2 linked regions of the Daphnia pulex genome follow. The protein of the gene in region 1 purifies or fractionates together with the protein of each later gene. This does not show direct contact. Links are inferred from orthologs where the notes say so. Each region holds a gene or a part of one and is shown in the gene's direction. Other genes may lie near its edges. The genes, in order: protein phosphatase 1 regulatory subunit 12A-like and serine/threonine-protein phosphatase PP1-beta catalytic subunit.

Region 1 (8,378 bases):
ATCGGCGTCTAACATAGTCACAGGTATCGGCACGTTTACGGGTACTAAGCCAGTTCCAATGCCTACTAAAGCCACCGAAGAGGACGGGCTCAAGCGCAAGGAATTGGAACTCAAGCGGTTGAAGGAAAAAGAAGAGGAGGCTGCTCGCAAGCGTGAAGAGTATTTGAAAGCCAAGGCCGAGGAACAAAAACGGTGCGTCCATTTTATTTACCTTGTTCGTCACCTCAGCTGATGTTCCTATTCATTGTTTCGTATTTCTTATCCAGGAAACACGAGTCTCGAGCGAAACGTGCCTTGGCGCAGCGCACCCTAATCACTAAACAACACAAAGAAGAACAGAAACAAAAACTTGAGAACAAAGAAGAAAAGAGTGCCCACTTGAAGCAGAAAATACAAGCTGAGAACCAAGAGAAGGCAGAACGGTAAGGCGTTGGTGTTTGAGTGACGAAGAGAAAGTTAAATTAAATTAATCCAATTCTCCTTGTACAGCGTCCGGATAGCTCTTCTGCAAAGACAACAAGAAGCCGAACAGCGCCGCAAGGCCGAAGAACTACAAAAGCAACAGGAATGGGTAAATTTATTTTCCTTGCGGATTCATATAAATGCTGATGGACTGATTTCGAATGTTAATTTCTTAGGAGGAAGAACAACTTCGTTTGCAAGCCGTTAAGAAGGAACAGGAGGAACAAGAAAAGCAAGCCAAGTTGAGGTTTGAAAGTCAAATGTGTTTTTGCTCTAACGTTTCAAGTATTTTATGCCAAACGTGTTTGAATTCTCAGGCAAGCTGAGGTTGAAAAAGCCAAAGCTGCCGCCGCCGTTGCTGTGCCAGTCCCAGGACCTTTCACGTTGAACACTACCGTCACGCTGCCTTCGTCTCTCACTGCAAACTACCAGATCACGCCAGTATGCAAATGACCATATTCTTGAATTTTTTGGGATTGCGTTTAAATGCATCGAATTTTCGCTTTTTTTTTTTTTTAGGTGCGCGTGACCAAGAAGGGGAGACTTTTCAATCCCGACAACTATGATATCGGTGATATGCGCTCAGATGACTCTACCGACGATGATTCCAGGCCCAAAAAATCTATTCCTTCTTGGGCTAGAAGTAAGTTACAAAGTTGCTTAACTTTGTTGTTCATCACTAACAACAAATTATTATTCAATTATTTAGGTTTCAATATTAAAGTGGCGTTAGCGCAGCAAACGGAAGCAAATATTGATACCGCCCAAATTTTCCCCGGAGACATACTCCTTCAAGATCCTGACCTGAACGATATATTTAAGATTAAACGTGCCCGTTTTAACAAGCGCACGTCCAGCGCCATCTGGAAAACCCCTCCCGCGAATCACATGTAATATGCACACTTCCATTTCACATTGGAACTTTTCTTTTGTGTTTTTAAACAGAAATTTATGCTACTACCTTTTGCCTTGCTTCTATCATTCATTATAATACAAAAAAAGTACACGGTTATTCTTGTTTCCTTCTGAAATGTGGATTTCTGTCAAATGGTTTATACAACTTGTCATGTTTTCATGGAAAAAAGCACAAGGAAATAATCACAGATTACCTGCAGTGACACATGGAGAAGGACATGGTTGAGAATTAAAGGTAATCTTTGAGCAGAGATAAGAAACTACTTCACAAATTCGTAGGTGGTGCATGAATAATACATCATTCCTTTTTCTGGTTTTTTTATGATAGGTGCATTTCTAGCAGTACTGCACTTTGATGGGGATGGAACAAGCAGGCCACAGACTTCATCTCGCATTTGCCTCTCCCTCAAAACATCTTGTTCCGACTGTCTTCTGTAAGCCTGCAAAAAAAATTGATTTGCAGCATTTTATGATTAAGTGTTGACACAGGTAGAAAGGCTCAAAATAGGTTTACCGATGCATAAGGGTTGATGGATTCTCCATTGGCAATCTTTGGCCTGCAGCATGAATCATAGCAGGAAATCAGTATACCCATAGTGACGCTTGTCCCATTCGACGAACCTTGAACGTTCACACACAAGAAAACAAACGTCACTCTATAGCCGGAAAACAACTCAAAGTATATGTAAATGTTTACTTTTCAGGATGGGCCAATGTTGGTCATTTTTATGTGAAACTGGGAACAACACACGAAAACACGATTCGGCGCCACGATTATAGGGTAAGAATAAATAATTAAGATGTCTTTCTATCTAAACATTTGACTATTTGAGTGATGGAGGAGCGGTCTGCTTTTGTTTCCCGCTGTCAGAGCAAGACGGGTAAAGAGCAATAACAAGACGCAACAGGAGGATGGGAATATCCAATAAGAATTTGGCAACGCTCGAATATCAATTTTTCTTATCTTGGGTTCTTCCTCTTGTCTTTGAATTATGCATTAGGAAATTTAAAACGAACTTGTCGATCCAAAAGAATTCCATTACCGCTTCGTCTACAAAATCAATGTTATTCAAATAATTTATGGCAATCGAACAATCGGGTAGCCGTCGATTGCTAAACCATCAAAAGTAGAAACCTGGAAAAGGTTTTTTCATTATTTATACTGACATCAACTGCCATCTAATAGCGCAGATAGCATTTTAGGAGTTTAAAACCATTTCTACATCTTTCATCTCCGATTCCCTTATGGGAAAAAAAAATCATTCAGTTATCGATCAAAAACTTGTTTTCTTTTCCCTTTTCTCCCTCTACTTGGCCGCGTGATGGATCGGAATCCACATTTGGGAAATGCGGATAGGAGGCAACAAAAAAGGGGAAAGGGAGAAGGAAGAGAGAAACTTTGAAGATGAGTTTTATTTGGAAATGGATTGGCTCACCGGCTGTTGTCCTGCATCGTATTTTTATTTTCTATTTTTTTTTGTGGGATGGAAAGTGAAGTCATGACTGTTCGTGATGCCCAAGAACGGGCCGTTGGGTCAAGTGTGCGTGAGTGCCGGTGCACATACGGTCGGTTCCCGGGATCCGAATGTAAATGGAAAATGGTGAAGAAAAAAAAGCGTCTTGTCTTGCTCTGCACGTAGCGACTTGGCAACGCTGGTGAAAGCACCAAATGTTAAGTAAAGGTGGCGAGATTATCGAAAAAATTTCCTGAATCGATAGAACTGCCGCATGGGAGGCGCTAGTTGTCCATAGTTGGGCCCTTTTATAAACATTTCGATGGAGTGAATTAAAAAATTGTATGTGTCATTCATAAATGTTTTTGTTTTATGGGAACAATTCGTCGAATTTCGGGATCCGACGAAAAGATCTCATTGTGCTAGATAAAATATTCGTAACATCTTAACATATAACACGAGAGCTCTTTAGTCTTCACCCTCTTGTGAATAGTCAGCGCCACCTGGGAGAATTTCCAGAATAGCATGATGGTAAAATCTGTGGCGAGTGTACCGTTGATTCTTAGTTCCATGGGGGAAAAGTCTAAAAATAAAAACAAAAAAAAAAAAACTGAAAAAAAGAGGCCAAGATGGCGACGTCTGCTTGAGGCAGAATCGAGTCTCTTCCCCATCTCCATCCATTCATGTGTGTCTGTGTGTTGTAACTAGACGAAACTCGTGCCAATTTGGTGGGGGCGAAATATCCAGACTGCGGTCTTCTATCAATAGAAGAAGCCGCGTAAAGGATAGTCAGATATCGCCGGCCGGGAAAGGATTTAGATACAGTGTGTGCCTTCCCCGACGTGTTTATACAATAGCAATTGGCACCTCCCGTCTTCCACTCCCTTGTGTTGTCCTGTGCCTTCTTTCGCTCTCCTCCGATCTCTGAGGAGAGTCACATTCCCTTCAAGGGATCGGAAAGTGCCCGGGTTGCATTCTACAGTGGCTTACGGTTGCGTTGAAACGCCGCCAAAAACATGGAGTCAAGAACAAATTCAGCCCTGTTTAAGAGGGCTGAACAACTGAGAAGGTGGGAGGAATCAGAGACAAACAAGGAACCTGCCTCAGCTCGTGTGGTTTCAAGGAGAATCCAATTCTCAGATGGATGTGTATTTCTCTCCGCTTGTGCTGCCGGTGACAAAGAAGAAGTACTCAAACTCATACGGCAAGGAGCTGACATAGACACCCCCAATGTTGATGGTTTAACTGCGCTGCATCAGGTCAGTTTTGTTTTGGCCCTGTCAACAAACCATTTACGCCAGTCGTCTGACTTTGAGGGTTGTTTTCTTCATACAGGCCTGCATCGATGACAATTTGGATATGGTGGAGTTTTTGGTGGAGCATGGAGCTGACATCAATCGTGGAGATCATGAAGGCTGGACTCCTCTGCACGCCACAGCCTCTTGTGGATTTTTATCAATTGCCAGGTACTTAACATGACTAGTTTTGATGCTCGCACAATGCTAAACAACAGCTGTTTGGAATTATGAATTAGGTACCTGATTGAGAACAAGTCAGATGTTGCTGCTGTAAACAATGACGGTGAACTCCCTATTGATATTGCTGAAACAGAAGCCATGGAAGAGTTGCTTGAACGAGAAACACAGTTGCGAGGTAATAACAAAAACAATAACACTTGAGCTCACTTTTCACACGACACTACTATGGATTTATGATCAACAGGCATTGACTGCGATGCTGCTAGGAGCCAAGAGGAACGACAAATGCTTGCTGACACTAGTCGGTGGCTGGAAGGAGACCCGGCATCAGCTCGACTGCTCCAGCCGCACCCTAGAACCGGCGCTACTCCGCTCCATGTCGCTTCAGCCAAAGGTTACATCCGCGTGATGAGCATGCTCGTTCAGGGCGGAGGCGAGCTGAACATTCAAGACATTGACGGCTGGACACCATTACATGCGGCTGCCCATTGGGGACAGCGTGAAGCATGTCAACTCTTGTGCGAAAACATGGCGGACATGGAGGTCCGCAATTACGTGGTACGATCCAGCACGCCAACAGTGTGGCATCTAAAACCCGAATTCTCTTCATTTATTGTGTATGTCCATTCGTTTAGGGTCAGACTTGCTTTGATGTGGCCGATCCTGACATCATCCGGTTACTGGAAGAATGCAAGAAGCGTCAGGCCATCATTTTACGAGAGCGGCCAGAAGTGTACAATAATCGAGGCAACGCAAGGAACCAGTCACCACCCAAGAGACGGTGAGATTTTTTAACGACATTCTTGCAATTGTCTCTCGCCCTGGACTGTTTGTTTATATTTCCTGCGTTTGTTTGCTTGGGACTATTGTTAGATCGTCGGTCACCCGTACCCCGCAAACGGAGAAAGCTGCCATCCAGGCTTCGTCCAAAATCACGGATAAGGTTCCCGGTGCCGTCATCATGGTCGACGAGGAAAAAGAGAACAGCAGTGGCGAACTATCCTCGCCCGTGGCCCCTCTTGCCGTCCAGGAGTCCTTTGATGAACGAGCCAAACCTGCCACAACCCCTGCCACAACCACCACATCCGTCCCGACTTCAACGAAAGATAATTCTCCTAGAGTGGTAATCGTTTCCTTGTCTAATTTCAGCTCGGATTCTGATATTAATTTTCTGGTTTTTATTTTAAAAAAAGACTTCGTCAAGCGGACCCCCTTCACGTCCACCACCTCCACCGGCCACTGATGTGGACAACCTGCCTTCGTCTCCATCACAGCAATCGGGTCAAATGATTGAAACCGAGGAGGATGTTCCTTCTTGGAGAAGACCTGGTTCTTTCCGGTCGAGGCAAGCTGGTAGGCAAACGCTCATGCAACTTGGAAATGTTTCGTGTTTTAATTTCTAATATTTTCCATCAGCCAATGCTGCCAACGGCAGTGGAACATTGAACCACACTCCGGTCAAATCGGAGCGAGAAGGATTGAACCGGTCCATCTCTCAGCCTTTAACCCCTGTAGCGGCCGTCACGTCTTCTTCCTCCGCCACCCCTCAATCTTCTTCTACCACTTCGTCCAACCTCGCCTCAACCGCCTCATCCATCTCCTCGTCCACCTCCGCCTTGTCTACCGATACGGAAGTCACACTACGGAGAGCCCATAGTTTCGAGTCCGACGAACGGTAAGGATTGTGGGTGTTTGTCTGTGCAAACAATGACTTTATTTTAACCCTTGCACCGATAATATTCCAGCACTTAACTCATTAAAACAAACGAAACCATTTGATTAACAAAAACGGGTTTTTCCATCACACATTGAACGCGCATGGTCGTGTATGTGTTTGTGTGTATGTGTCCGTGCTCGCGCCGTAGATTTTATTCGCGGCTGCTGGAACTGCGGCGACGGATCAAGGCCAATTCCTTGCCATTGCTGGCAGCCTCGTCGCTCACTCCGATCGTGAGCGGCGGCAGCAACAGCGTTGGGGAGGATGTCAATGGTGGAGGCCCCACTAGTACTAACACTATTCATTCAACCAATAACCGAAGCCGAGTCGAACAAACCCTACAACCTGACGACGACCTTGAACCAGTCGTTCTACGGGTGAAAAGGTATCACGCTGGACGGCCCAGCACCCTTGCCAAACACTCCTTTTTTTCTAACTCTTTTCACTCTCTTGATCCGCACGGTAGTTTGAGATAGAATGATGTTTGTTTATTTCTTTTCTTCTCTTCTTCAGTTCGTTATTTCGATTGAGTATACTAATTTTTTGAAATTTGTTGTCGTTTTCGTGCCATTTTGTAGTCGGTTGGGAACAGAATGCCCCGTCGAGCAGACGACAACGGCCACTTTGGTCCTATCGCAGCCCAACGTGCCGAGTTCGGCCAATCAGCCCATACGCAGGTACAATGGCAATTTGGAAAATTATTATTATCCTTTAGTTCAAACGATTACATCAAGTCCATTCCAACGTTCACCTCAAAATAAGGAGTCAATTATTGTGCCCTGCCCAATTTCATTTCTTCCTTATTTTATTTTTTTATTATTTATTTATTTTGTTTTCTTTCTTTTCTTTTGGGATCTTGTTATGGTCTTCTTATTTGTAATTTCTCTCGATGATTTCTCTCAAATACTGTTAGCCCGTCGGCCAACACGGTTGTGACCACTACAGCGACCTCATCGCTCACCAACGTCAAACTAAGTCCCGGAACAATTATCAAGAATTTCTTCAAGTTTGTGTTCTTGGATCTCTTTTTTTCTTCTTCTTCTCTTCTTCTTTGTTCTTTGACTTGTGCCCCCAAAACGATTGAAGATGATTGTTTTGTTTAACACAATTCAACCGACATACTGCATAGCCTTAAATAATGTTTTGGCTGGAACCGAAAAGCTCCTTTTAGCTCTTTAGATATGTCGTTGGATCCTGACGACAATAATCCTCTGTCTGCCTGCGAACAAAAACACAACGTTGAATTAAGTCCTTAATCCCCCCTTGTTGTCCTCTTTAACGGAATGGACACAGCGACTGAACATTTTCGTGTATTAATCCGCGCGTGTGTTGTGTTTGTGCTGTGATGGAAACGCGAAGGGCTCGGCTTGATTGGCCCTTTTTGTGTTGTGTCGATTTTTGGATGTTTGTTTTTTGGGTGGGGAAAATGCTCATGTCTGACAGCTTTGATTAAGAAATTGTTTTCTGTGATGATTAGGTCATTTGTTCCTCCAGTACGCGACGAAGAGTCAGAGACGCAGCGAAAGGCACACGCCAAGCGGGTCCGTGAAACCAGGCGTTCCACGCAGGGCGTCACGCTGGAAGAGGTCAAAACGGCCGAACAGCTAGCCAAGAAGAAACAGGCCGAAACCGTAAGTTGTCCCTCATCCTCTTTCTTAACACCAAACATTGCAGGAGTTGAATCCCAGGAGTGTGTGAACTGAAATGAATCAAAGTCTGGGGGGAAACTAATCAGACTTTGCTTTGTTTGTGGGGCAGACATCAATACCTGCGTCGGTCACCCCCGATGCTACCGAATCTACCGATTCGAAATCCGAACTGGAACGGCGGCCATCCTGGAGATTGTGCATCAACGATAACAATAAGAACAAGGTTGGCTACATTATAAGGCGTGAGCTAGGGGAGGTCGGGAATTGTCTTCTGTTGATTTTGGCCGTCGATTATCCCCTTTTACAATCCAATCTCCACCGCATGGACACTTTTTTGTTTTTTACCCCAGTCGAATTTTGTTGTGTCACAAAGTTTTAATCCTTGAACAATTGTCGTCTAGTTCTCATTGGAAGATTCACGGAGTAAGAACAACGGAGGAGGCGGTGTGAATGCCTCATCGACCATCACATCAATAACGGCCGACACTGTCATCACGATCCCGCTGCGTCGCTCCAAAGCCCAGGAAGAAGGTAACAACAACAACAACAAAAAGAATGAAGCAATTCATCTTTTTTCCTGTTTTTTTTTTTTTTTTTACTTTGTCTGTCCTGTTTGCCTGACACATTTCCCGTTTCTATTTCTTGTGTCAACAAACACACACAGAAATGAAGGAGACGACAAAGGAGAATGCGGCAGCTGCTA
Region 2 (8,378 bases), on another chromosome or scaffold:
CCAATTGATGTTGAATCGATGTCAATTGATTTATAAAGGTATTTTACAATTTAATATATGATTGTTATTTCGATGTAATTCACTCTTTTTTCGCATCATTCTTTTCTTGAACTTGAACAAAAGGTGTTGGTGCTCTTTACGTGATAGGCCGACCACGGGTTAGGATTGAAGCTCTGCAAAGTGGAGGTGGTCAGGAATGAGGGATACGTGGTGGAACAGTTCCTACTCCACTGACAGAGTGACAGTTGGTTTTGGCGCAGCATGTGAAGTAGCTCAGCAAGAACTTAAGGTTTTAGTTCATGTCATAGTAGTATCCATACATAACTAATTGATCAAAACCATGTTTTAGTATAATCATGCCAGATTAGTAAACTATCGCAACGCTTGATCGATCAGATTGGTAATAGTTTAACACATGTCGTACGAAATTGAGATCCTGAACACTCCTACCCAGGTTGTGTAAACCTTTCTTTCGCCTACGTCGAGGGAGAAAGTCTTTTCATGGCCCTGAAAGGTAACTTTATATAAAGGCAACTTCCACTACCTTTCATTTTAACTAATTCTTTTTATTACGTAAGACGTGGCACTCTCAAGCGGAAGTACTTGCACCTCAGCATTGCTGGAACTTTCATATATTTTGCGGACCATTGGCGCTGAAGAAGATTTGGCGCATTCTTCTATTCGATTTGGAATTGGGCGATTCACCACCGAAGCTGAGGTTGATTACACGGCAGAAAAGTGTATTCATCAAGTATCACCAAACTTCGAGAAATGAGGTATATACCGACCAGGTTTGGAATTCCCAGACAAAAAGCTTATTTTACTTCCGCTAAAAATGTTAATTTGTCCTTCTTCCTTATTTGTTTATTTTTGTCGAAATGAAAATTTATAAATGCAACGTCGTTCTTTTTTTTTTTTTATGGTCAGTGTTTTAAAAAAGTAGAAGAGTATACAGAGTACAATAAAATAAAAAATTACAGAGTAAAATAAAAAATAACGACAAGAAAATGAAGCACAAGAACAAGACTGCCTAATTCCAAAATTCTTCCAAGATAGCTCTGTCACTTAGCCGAAGGCCAACGCTTGCAACGCGAGCCCTAGTTTCCCTAGCAGACGAAAGCCATGTCTCAAGTTCAGGTGTTTACATCCAGATGGTGCTGCACAACTATTTTAATCCCGTCTGACTTTTCGATGATGGCGGACGACCTTAATGTTGACAGTATTATTTCTCGATTGTTAGAAGGTAAGTCATTATGAATTAAAAATTTTGATTAAAACTAATAGAGCAGTCTGAAAGCTAGGAACTAAGTGGTCTCATTGATACATCTTTTATGCGTTCAATAGCTTCTTAGACTACTTTTTTGGTGTAGAACTGCAAAGGGCTTCAATTTTCAATTTCGAAAATAATGATTACGTTGGCAATTTTGTGACGCTAAACAAATTCTTGAAACCAATATTTCCCCATCTTCTTATTTATATTTAAATGAAACTAAATGGTCTCATTCAATGGTAATAATTTAAGGTTCTATACAACTTGATTAGAGTATTTATATCACATACCCACAGCCTTGTTCCTTGCCCTAAAAATGAAATTGTCATGTGATTACCTGTAAATCAAATTGTTAATCACTAACCATTTTTTTTTATGTGTTTTGTAACAGTGAGAGGATGCCGGCCTGGGAAGTCTGTGCAGATGACAGAGGCTGAAGTTAGGGGCTTGTGTTTAAAATCCAGAGAGATTTTCCTTCAACAGCCAATACTCCTTGAGCTAGAAGCACCCCTGAAAATTTGTGGTATGCACTAATTTTAACAAATTTCATTCTTATTTTTTTTACTTGGGACTTCCAAAGAGGTAGTAAATTATATTTTCTGTTTGGTATTTTCAGGTGATATTCATGGCCAGTATACAGATTTGCTAAGATTGTTTGAGTATGGAGGTTTCCCCCCTGAAGCAAATTATTTATTTCTTGGCGATTACGTGGATCGCGGAAAACAGTCCTTGGAAACCATTTGCCTTCTACTTGCTTATAAAATCAAGTACCCTGAAAATTTCTTCTTATTAAGAGGAAATCACGAATGTGCATCCATCAACAGAATTTATGGCTTTTATGATGAATGTAAGTAACTATCGTTTTCTAAATGGCCATTTTTTAGAGTGATGTATTCTGCTTTATCTTAGGCAAACGGCGGTACAACATTAAACTGTGGAAGACTTTCACCGATTGTTTTAATTGTCTTCCTATCGCCGCCATAATTGACGAGAAAATATTTTGTTGTCACGGCGGCTTAAGTCCCGACCTACAAAACATGGACCAAATCAAACGTATTATGAGGCCGACTGATGTACCTGACACTGGTAAACTTCGACTTGGCTTTTACACCTGAAATATATATAACATCATATGTGGCTGATTTGTTTTACATTCAGGCCTTCTTTGTGACCTGCTGTGGTCCGACCCTGATAAAGACGTGCAAGGATGGTCTGAAAATGACCGCGGCGTTTCCTTCACTTTCGGAGCTGATGTTGTCAGCAAATTTTTGAATCGCCATGACCTTGACTTGATTTGCAGAGCTCATCAGGTCGTAGAAGATGGTTACGAATTTTTTGCCAAACGTCAACTGGTTACTCTCTTTTCTGCGCCAAATTACTGCGGGGAGTTTGACAACGCGGGCGGCATGATGAGCGTTGATGAAACACTTATGTGCTCTTTTCAGGTATTTCTATTGAATGTTTAATATTTGTAACTCAAATTTAAAATTTTTCCAAATTCGTTAGATTTTGAAACCCTCGGAGAAGAAAGCAAAATACCAGTATTCTGGTATCAACGCCACGAAGCCGAACGCAGCTGCCAACAAACCAGTGCCCAAGAAGAAGTAATAGTTAGTAAGAGTTATTGTAAGCTTAATCCTATTGAATTATTTGATCGACTTAACCTTTCAACCGGAATGTGGTGGGAGCCATCAATGCCCAATTTCCCCTTTTTAACAAATTCTTACAACTACTATTTCTGTTGCCCTCGTCACACAATTTGGAGGACAACGTTACTCCTTCGCATGCTTCGTCAGCGTCTTCATTTTTTTCCTCGTTACTTACCACATCTCTTTCTCCCTTCATTTAGTGTATATCCTCTGTAAATCAAACAAATAAACCAACATGATATCAGCAAACTTGAACATGCTTTCCTTGTATGACGCAATGAAACAGTTTACAATTACGTCGGAAAAGATTCAGTCGACAAGCCGCGTTAATGTCAAAGTTCTCAATCCATTAAGCTGACTGTGTATTTCATATGGACAACGAGGCAGTCTTTCTTTAATTTTTAGAGCCAAGAATGTGAAGAGCCAACTCTTCGTCCATAGCCAAATCCAGGCCAGTGTCAAATTTACTGTTCTTAGCTGGTTTCTGTTTCTTAGGTGGCTTCTTCTTGATCCATTTTTGTTTCGTCTTTGTAGGTGTGGGAAGTTCTTCGCTTTCACTCGGTTGTCGCCGTTTCCTAATTATGAGAAAGAATTAATAGAATTCCAACTTGGTTTCAGCCAAATGTTTGTACCTTGTAATCGGGGTAGGCTTGACAGGTGCTTCGTCATTGTCACTTTCACTATCATCTTCACTGTCGTCATCTTCTTCACTCTCGCTCGGCAATCGCGAGCGTTTCCTAAATAAAGACAGAATTACTTTATTGGAACAAACGAAAATTAAATGGGAGATTTCTTACTTTGCAACAGCTGGCCCTCTGTAAACCTCACCTTCTTCTTCGCTATCATCTTCCTTGGCGCCGTAGATGCGATCGGGATCGGGTAAAGCGTCTATAATTTCTCCGACTGAACCATCGACACTCTCGTCACCTTCAGACTCTTCGTCCTCCTCCTCACCTTCGACATTCGTTACTTCTTCTTCCTTCTCTACCCGGTTGGCAAGTCTACGCTCTGCTTTGGCTTTGAGTCGATCTTCGCGATGTTTGGCTTTAATACGCTGACGGAAGATTTCTTTGTCGTATTTATCCTCTTCTTCCATCGCCTTTTTGGCTTCAACCAAATTGATGCCACCAGTAATCGATGTCGAAGCTTCAATTTCGAGAGCTCGGCCAAGCTCGGAAACTTTCTCGCGAGATGCGTCATAAATTCTCTGCAAAATAAACAACAATAAATTATACAACAACACGAAATGGGATCATTCTGTAAAAAATGGGTATTACATTTCCTTCGTCGTCAAAGTTGACAATTTTATTGGCCTTCAGCTTTTTAGCAAGGATTCGTTTGGCAACTTTCTCCTTGGTCAAGATCTTTTCCTTCTTCTTTTTCTCAACACCAATTTCAACCTCCTCCTCCTCGGCTTCTTCGAATCCGGGGAGAGCGTGATTTTGCCGCTTGATTTTGAAAATGCCGTCATCGCTATCGGAATCCTGTAATTCGTCTTCTGCGTGGAAATCGTAAGCTGCTTCCAGGTCGTTTCTTCTCCATTGCTGCTCAGTCGATTGAGCGGCAATAGGCTTCTCGGCTGGGGTGTCATAGTTTGGTTTCAACATTCGAGGAGCTTGTGGAGGCGCAGCCGATTCTGTTGCCTTGAGATGTTTTTGTAGGAAACGGACGCGTGGAGCAAGAGCGAGCCCCAAAGACCGAGCTAAAGCATTCAAATCGATACTAGTGACATCAAAAATCGACTTGTCTTTCATAAGGAAAACTGATTTGGCATAAGTAACAAAAGCCCGTTGGGCCATTTGTTTCAATTCAACATCACGAGCGAGCATGGCTTCGAGTTTCCGCTGAATGGAAACCAATTTCGAAGGATTGACTTCAATTTTCTGAATGGGGATCTTTTTCTGGGCCAACTGCTCAACCATGGCTTCTTCTGAGGGCAGCAGCATCAGCAACGATTCCCCTCCTTTCTGATAACGAGCAGTACGACCGGCTCGGTGGATGTAGCTACTTGGGTCGTCCGGACAATCCATTTGAATTACCCAATCAACATTAGGAAAATCGAGTCCTCGAGCGGCAATGTCTGTGGCGAACAGGACGGCAGTTTGCTTCTCGCAAAACTCTTCGTAGACTGACATGCGTTTCATCTGGTGCATGGTACCATACAAAGCCAATACAGAAAGACCAGGTCGCAGACGAGTAAAAGCTTGATGAATAAATCGAACCTAATTAAAAGGCAATGTTCAAGTTAGTTTGATAATCAACGGCAAATTTTTCAACAAATTACCTGTTTGCAAGAAGTCAAAAAGACAATCAGTTTCTTCTTCCTATGACTCCTAAGAAAAGACCATAAAATGTCGACTTTGTTTTGAATGGGAGTAATGATGTAGCTTTGACGCAAAGACTCGGGTGTGGAGTATTGAGCGTTTTCGTGAACAGAAACGTAAACGGGGTCCTTTAAACTGAGACGAGCGAGATCTTTGACTGATCTGTAATTTACATAAGATATAAAAAGGTGAGCGTAAATTCTAAACGATGAATGTTATCATATTAAATACTTGGTTTGTGTGGCGGAAAACAGCAGAGTTTGCCTCTTTGGGGGTAAATTTTCAATGATACCGTTCATCGTTTGCTGGAATCCCAGATCCAAACAACGATCAGCCTCGTCAATAACCAATATCTGTAGGTTGGAGCAGTCAAAGAGAGGATTTTCATCCATGTGATGAAGGACTCTTCCAGGGGTGCAAATCATGATGTTACATTGGTCTAATCGTTTCCTTTCAAAATTAAGGTCTTTGCCTCCAATGATGAGACCAGCAGAAAAATCATGCTGGATTCCAACCTTCCTGAAAGTCTCAAATATCTGGTATGCCAATTCTCGAGTTGGGGTTATAATTAGGGCACCAAGACCATCTAGTCGAGTCCATTGCATGCAGTACAGTCTTTCAAGAACAGGTATCACAAAGGCAAGGGTTTTTCCACTACCGGTTTTGGCAGCTCCCAATACATCTAGACCTCTTAGGGCAAGAACAATACTCTCTTTTTGGACTTCGGTTGGCGTGGTGTACTCGTTCTGCTGCAGACCTTGCAAGGTTTTCTTGGAAAGCGGAATATCTTTAAATTTTAGTACAGCTGATGTTTCCACTGATGTATAGCGAATTTGCAAATTCTTGATTTCGTGTTGCTCAATGGCACTTGCTTTAACTCGACTTGGGTGTAATTTTCCTTTGGAGTTGTTTTTCTTCTTTGTCTTTTGTGACCCAGGTCCATTTTGTTTGTTGTCATCCGGGGTTTTTGCATTACCATTTGTACTACCACTCTCCATTTTCTTGTTGTAATTTGTTTTTCTTTTATTTGAAATATTTTTGAAAGAAACTAGGTAACTTGAACCATTCAATTCAATAACTAAGTAACTTGCCGTCTTGCCCTGTGTCGAAATTTTTGGGCACCACGAGACAAGCAGACGACAAAAATCTGGTAAGTGCCATCTGGCGATAAATGAAGCATATAAGAAAGTTGGCGGAAAGTTTGAAAAGGTTTCGATTTCATCAAAATTGAATTAAAAAAAAAATAGTTTATTACACTATTTTACAAGGCAATGAGAATAACTAAAAAATAATTAATTTCGTCACGCGTATATTTTTAATCTTTTTTTGTTCAATAAGAGGATGCATCACTTTATTAAAAAGCACCAGATCCCACAAAAAAAAAACACAATTTAATAAAATATAATTTTATTTTGACTATCTTTTTTATTAGCTTTGGTACGTATAAAATTCAGAGCTGAAGAACGAACGGAAGGTCTTCGGACTCATCTAATACACCTGTAACCGAAGAAAGTTCGGGCAATTCCGAGAGAGATACCAATTGAATGTATATTTGCGTCGTGTTGTGATTGTTTTTCATGTCCTTCAACAAGAAAGTTGCGACTTGCACAGCGTGATAGTACTGAGGAATAAATGAGAGATAAGGAAAACACGAGGGAAAACACGGTAAATCGTCGCATTAATCTTGATCTTGTCTGAGATTATCTTGGAGAGAAGGACGCTGTCCAAATGAAATAGAATTCCCAAAAAGCGAGGCCGCAGATAGTCCCCTATACTTTCCACACTTTTGACTTGGCCATGGCTCTTGACGACAGAACTCGACGTAGATGGGACGCGACGTGCTGGGAATGCAACTGGATGAGCAAATCGTTATGAATTGATTGGAAATTTGGTGCCAACACGTGCCCGCAGTTGTGTCAATTTTAGTCGATGAAGTCCAGCACGTTACATGTGATGTGTAGGCAGACAGCAACAATATCTTGAAGAGGGATGTGAAAACAGTCTGCCATGACAGTTTCCTTCCAAAACTGTACCAAAACCGTTGCGCACGTTAAGATGGCTCGTTGAAGAGATGGTAAATTTTTTCAGTCGAAATTTGCGCCACTTTGTGCATTTTCTTGGTGATTGATAAACGAAGGGCTTCGGTTCGAGCAGAATGATAAAGAACCGATATAGAAAAAGATCCACGCGGTGGAGTAGCGAAATATCATTTTCATCAAAGACAAACTCGAGGAAGAAGAGCGCCATATCTTCAGGAACGATGCTTACTTTTAATGATGTAGCAAGATTTTCGAGATTGTGAGTGCACCGTGAACTTAGTCCATCTTCTAGATTATGAACAACATTCATCTTGCTTGATAGAGCACAGACAAGGTCTGCTCCATTTTTTGTTAAAACCCTTATATCTTCTCTAGAACCAGAAGCCAAAATTGTGGTTAAGCATTGTGTTATTGATTTGCGGAACGACTTGCTGTGGCGGATGATCCATTTGATGACTTATGAGTTATGACTTTGATGAACATTTGCGTCGCTGCATTTGTGATAGCGAGTGAAATAGCGCGAGTTTCTTGCAATGGCTGCACTTCTACTAGAAATAGAGGTGCGCTTTCCCTCCAATTCTTTTTGATTTTTTTCCAAAGCTTACACTAACGCGATCGACGACAAAAAAATATTAAAAAATAGAGCAGGTCTTAAAGATTAACACATATTTATTTCAAATAAACACAAATGTCTTTCATGCAATAATAAAATAAAGAAAAACGTAGTCCCTTAAGGCCCCTGTGAACTGTGGCGGCGGGTTTTTTTGGGGGAGCAGAAGTAGGGAAGAATGGGGCTAAAAGGCCTGGAGGCAGGTCGCTCTTTTCTAATTATTTACAGTACGGTATCCTACAAAAAAATCCGAACACAGCTCTTTTTCTAAAGCCCAGTTCAATGTATATTTTTTGTTTTTAACTTTGAAGACTTCCCATTATATGTAGAATTAATTGTTTTACAAAGTTCATTTATAAGAATTAAGAAAAAAATGCCGAAATATTTTTTTTTATATAAAAAAAAAGACCAAGGTGTTCAGGTTACTACCTACCCGAAGTTTGGGAACGCGCAAGCGCGAGCGAGAAAATCTTATGGGAAATTGCG

The links.
Region 2: the proteins of protein phosphatase 1 regulatory subunit 12A-like (region 1) and serine/threonine-protein phosphatase PP1-beta catalytic subunit purify together in Drosophila melanogaster (affinity purification with mass spectrometry; 3 studies listed by BioGRID, with this or other methods). This does not show direct contact. The link is inferred for Daphnia pulex from reciprocal best matches to the Drosophila melanogaster genes Mbs and flw.

What each region holds. Positions count from the first base shown.
Region 1 is NC_060023.1:10,245,640-10,254,017, reverse strand, and holds the start of protein phosphatase 1 regulatory subunit 12A-like, read left to right. Parts: upstream 1-3,424; 5' UTR 3,425-3,847; coding exon 3,848-4,090; intron 4,091-4,166; coding exon 4,167-4,297; intron 4,298-4,365; coding exon 4,366-4,484; intron 4,485-4,553; coding exon 4,554-4,867; intron 4,868-4,944; coding exon 4,945-5,090; intron 5,091-5,182; coding exon 5,183-5,432; intron 5,433-5,502; coding exon 5,503-5,662; intron 5,663-5,725; coding exon 5,726-5,984; intron 5,985-6,174; coding exon 6,175-6,411; intron 6,412-6,604; coding exon 6,605-6,703; intron 6,704-6,939; coding exon 6,940-7,032; intron 7,033-7,503; coding exon 7,504-7,657; intron 7,658-7,784; coding exon 7,785-7,898; intron 7,899-8,076; coding exon 8,077-8,206; intron 8,207-8,339; coding exon 8,340-8,378. Other genes in the region: inner centromere protein-like, read left to right, coding at 1-192, 267-422, 490-571, 639-709, 780-903, 982-1,105, 1,172-1,356.
Region 2 is NC_060021.1:5,447,543-5,455,920, reverse strand, and holds serine/threonine-protein phosphatase PP1-beta catalytic subunit, read left to right. Parts: upstream 1-1,104; 5' UTR 1,105-1,122; coding exon 1,123-1,243; intron 1,244-1,306; exon of another isoform or gene 1,307-1,493; coding exon of another isoform or gene 1,494-1,509; intron 1,510-1,661; coding exon 1,662-1,793; intron 1,794-1,886; coding exon 1,887-2,117; intron 2,118-2,179; coding exon 2,180-2,356; intron 2,357-2,428; coding exon 2,429-2,715; intron 2,716-2,776; coding exon 2,777-2,878; 3' UTR 2,879-3,168; downstream 3,169-8,378. Other genes in the region: probable ATP-dependent RNA helicase DDX10, read right to left, coding at 3,314-3,494, 3,552-3,656, 3,717-4,126, 4,197-5,141, 5,204-5,405, 5,475-6,241. UniProt on the Drosophila melanogaster protein: Required for cell adhesion in non-muscle tissues and in maintenance of muscle attachment. Vital for larval development.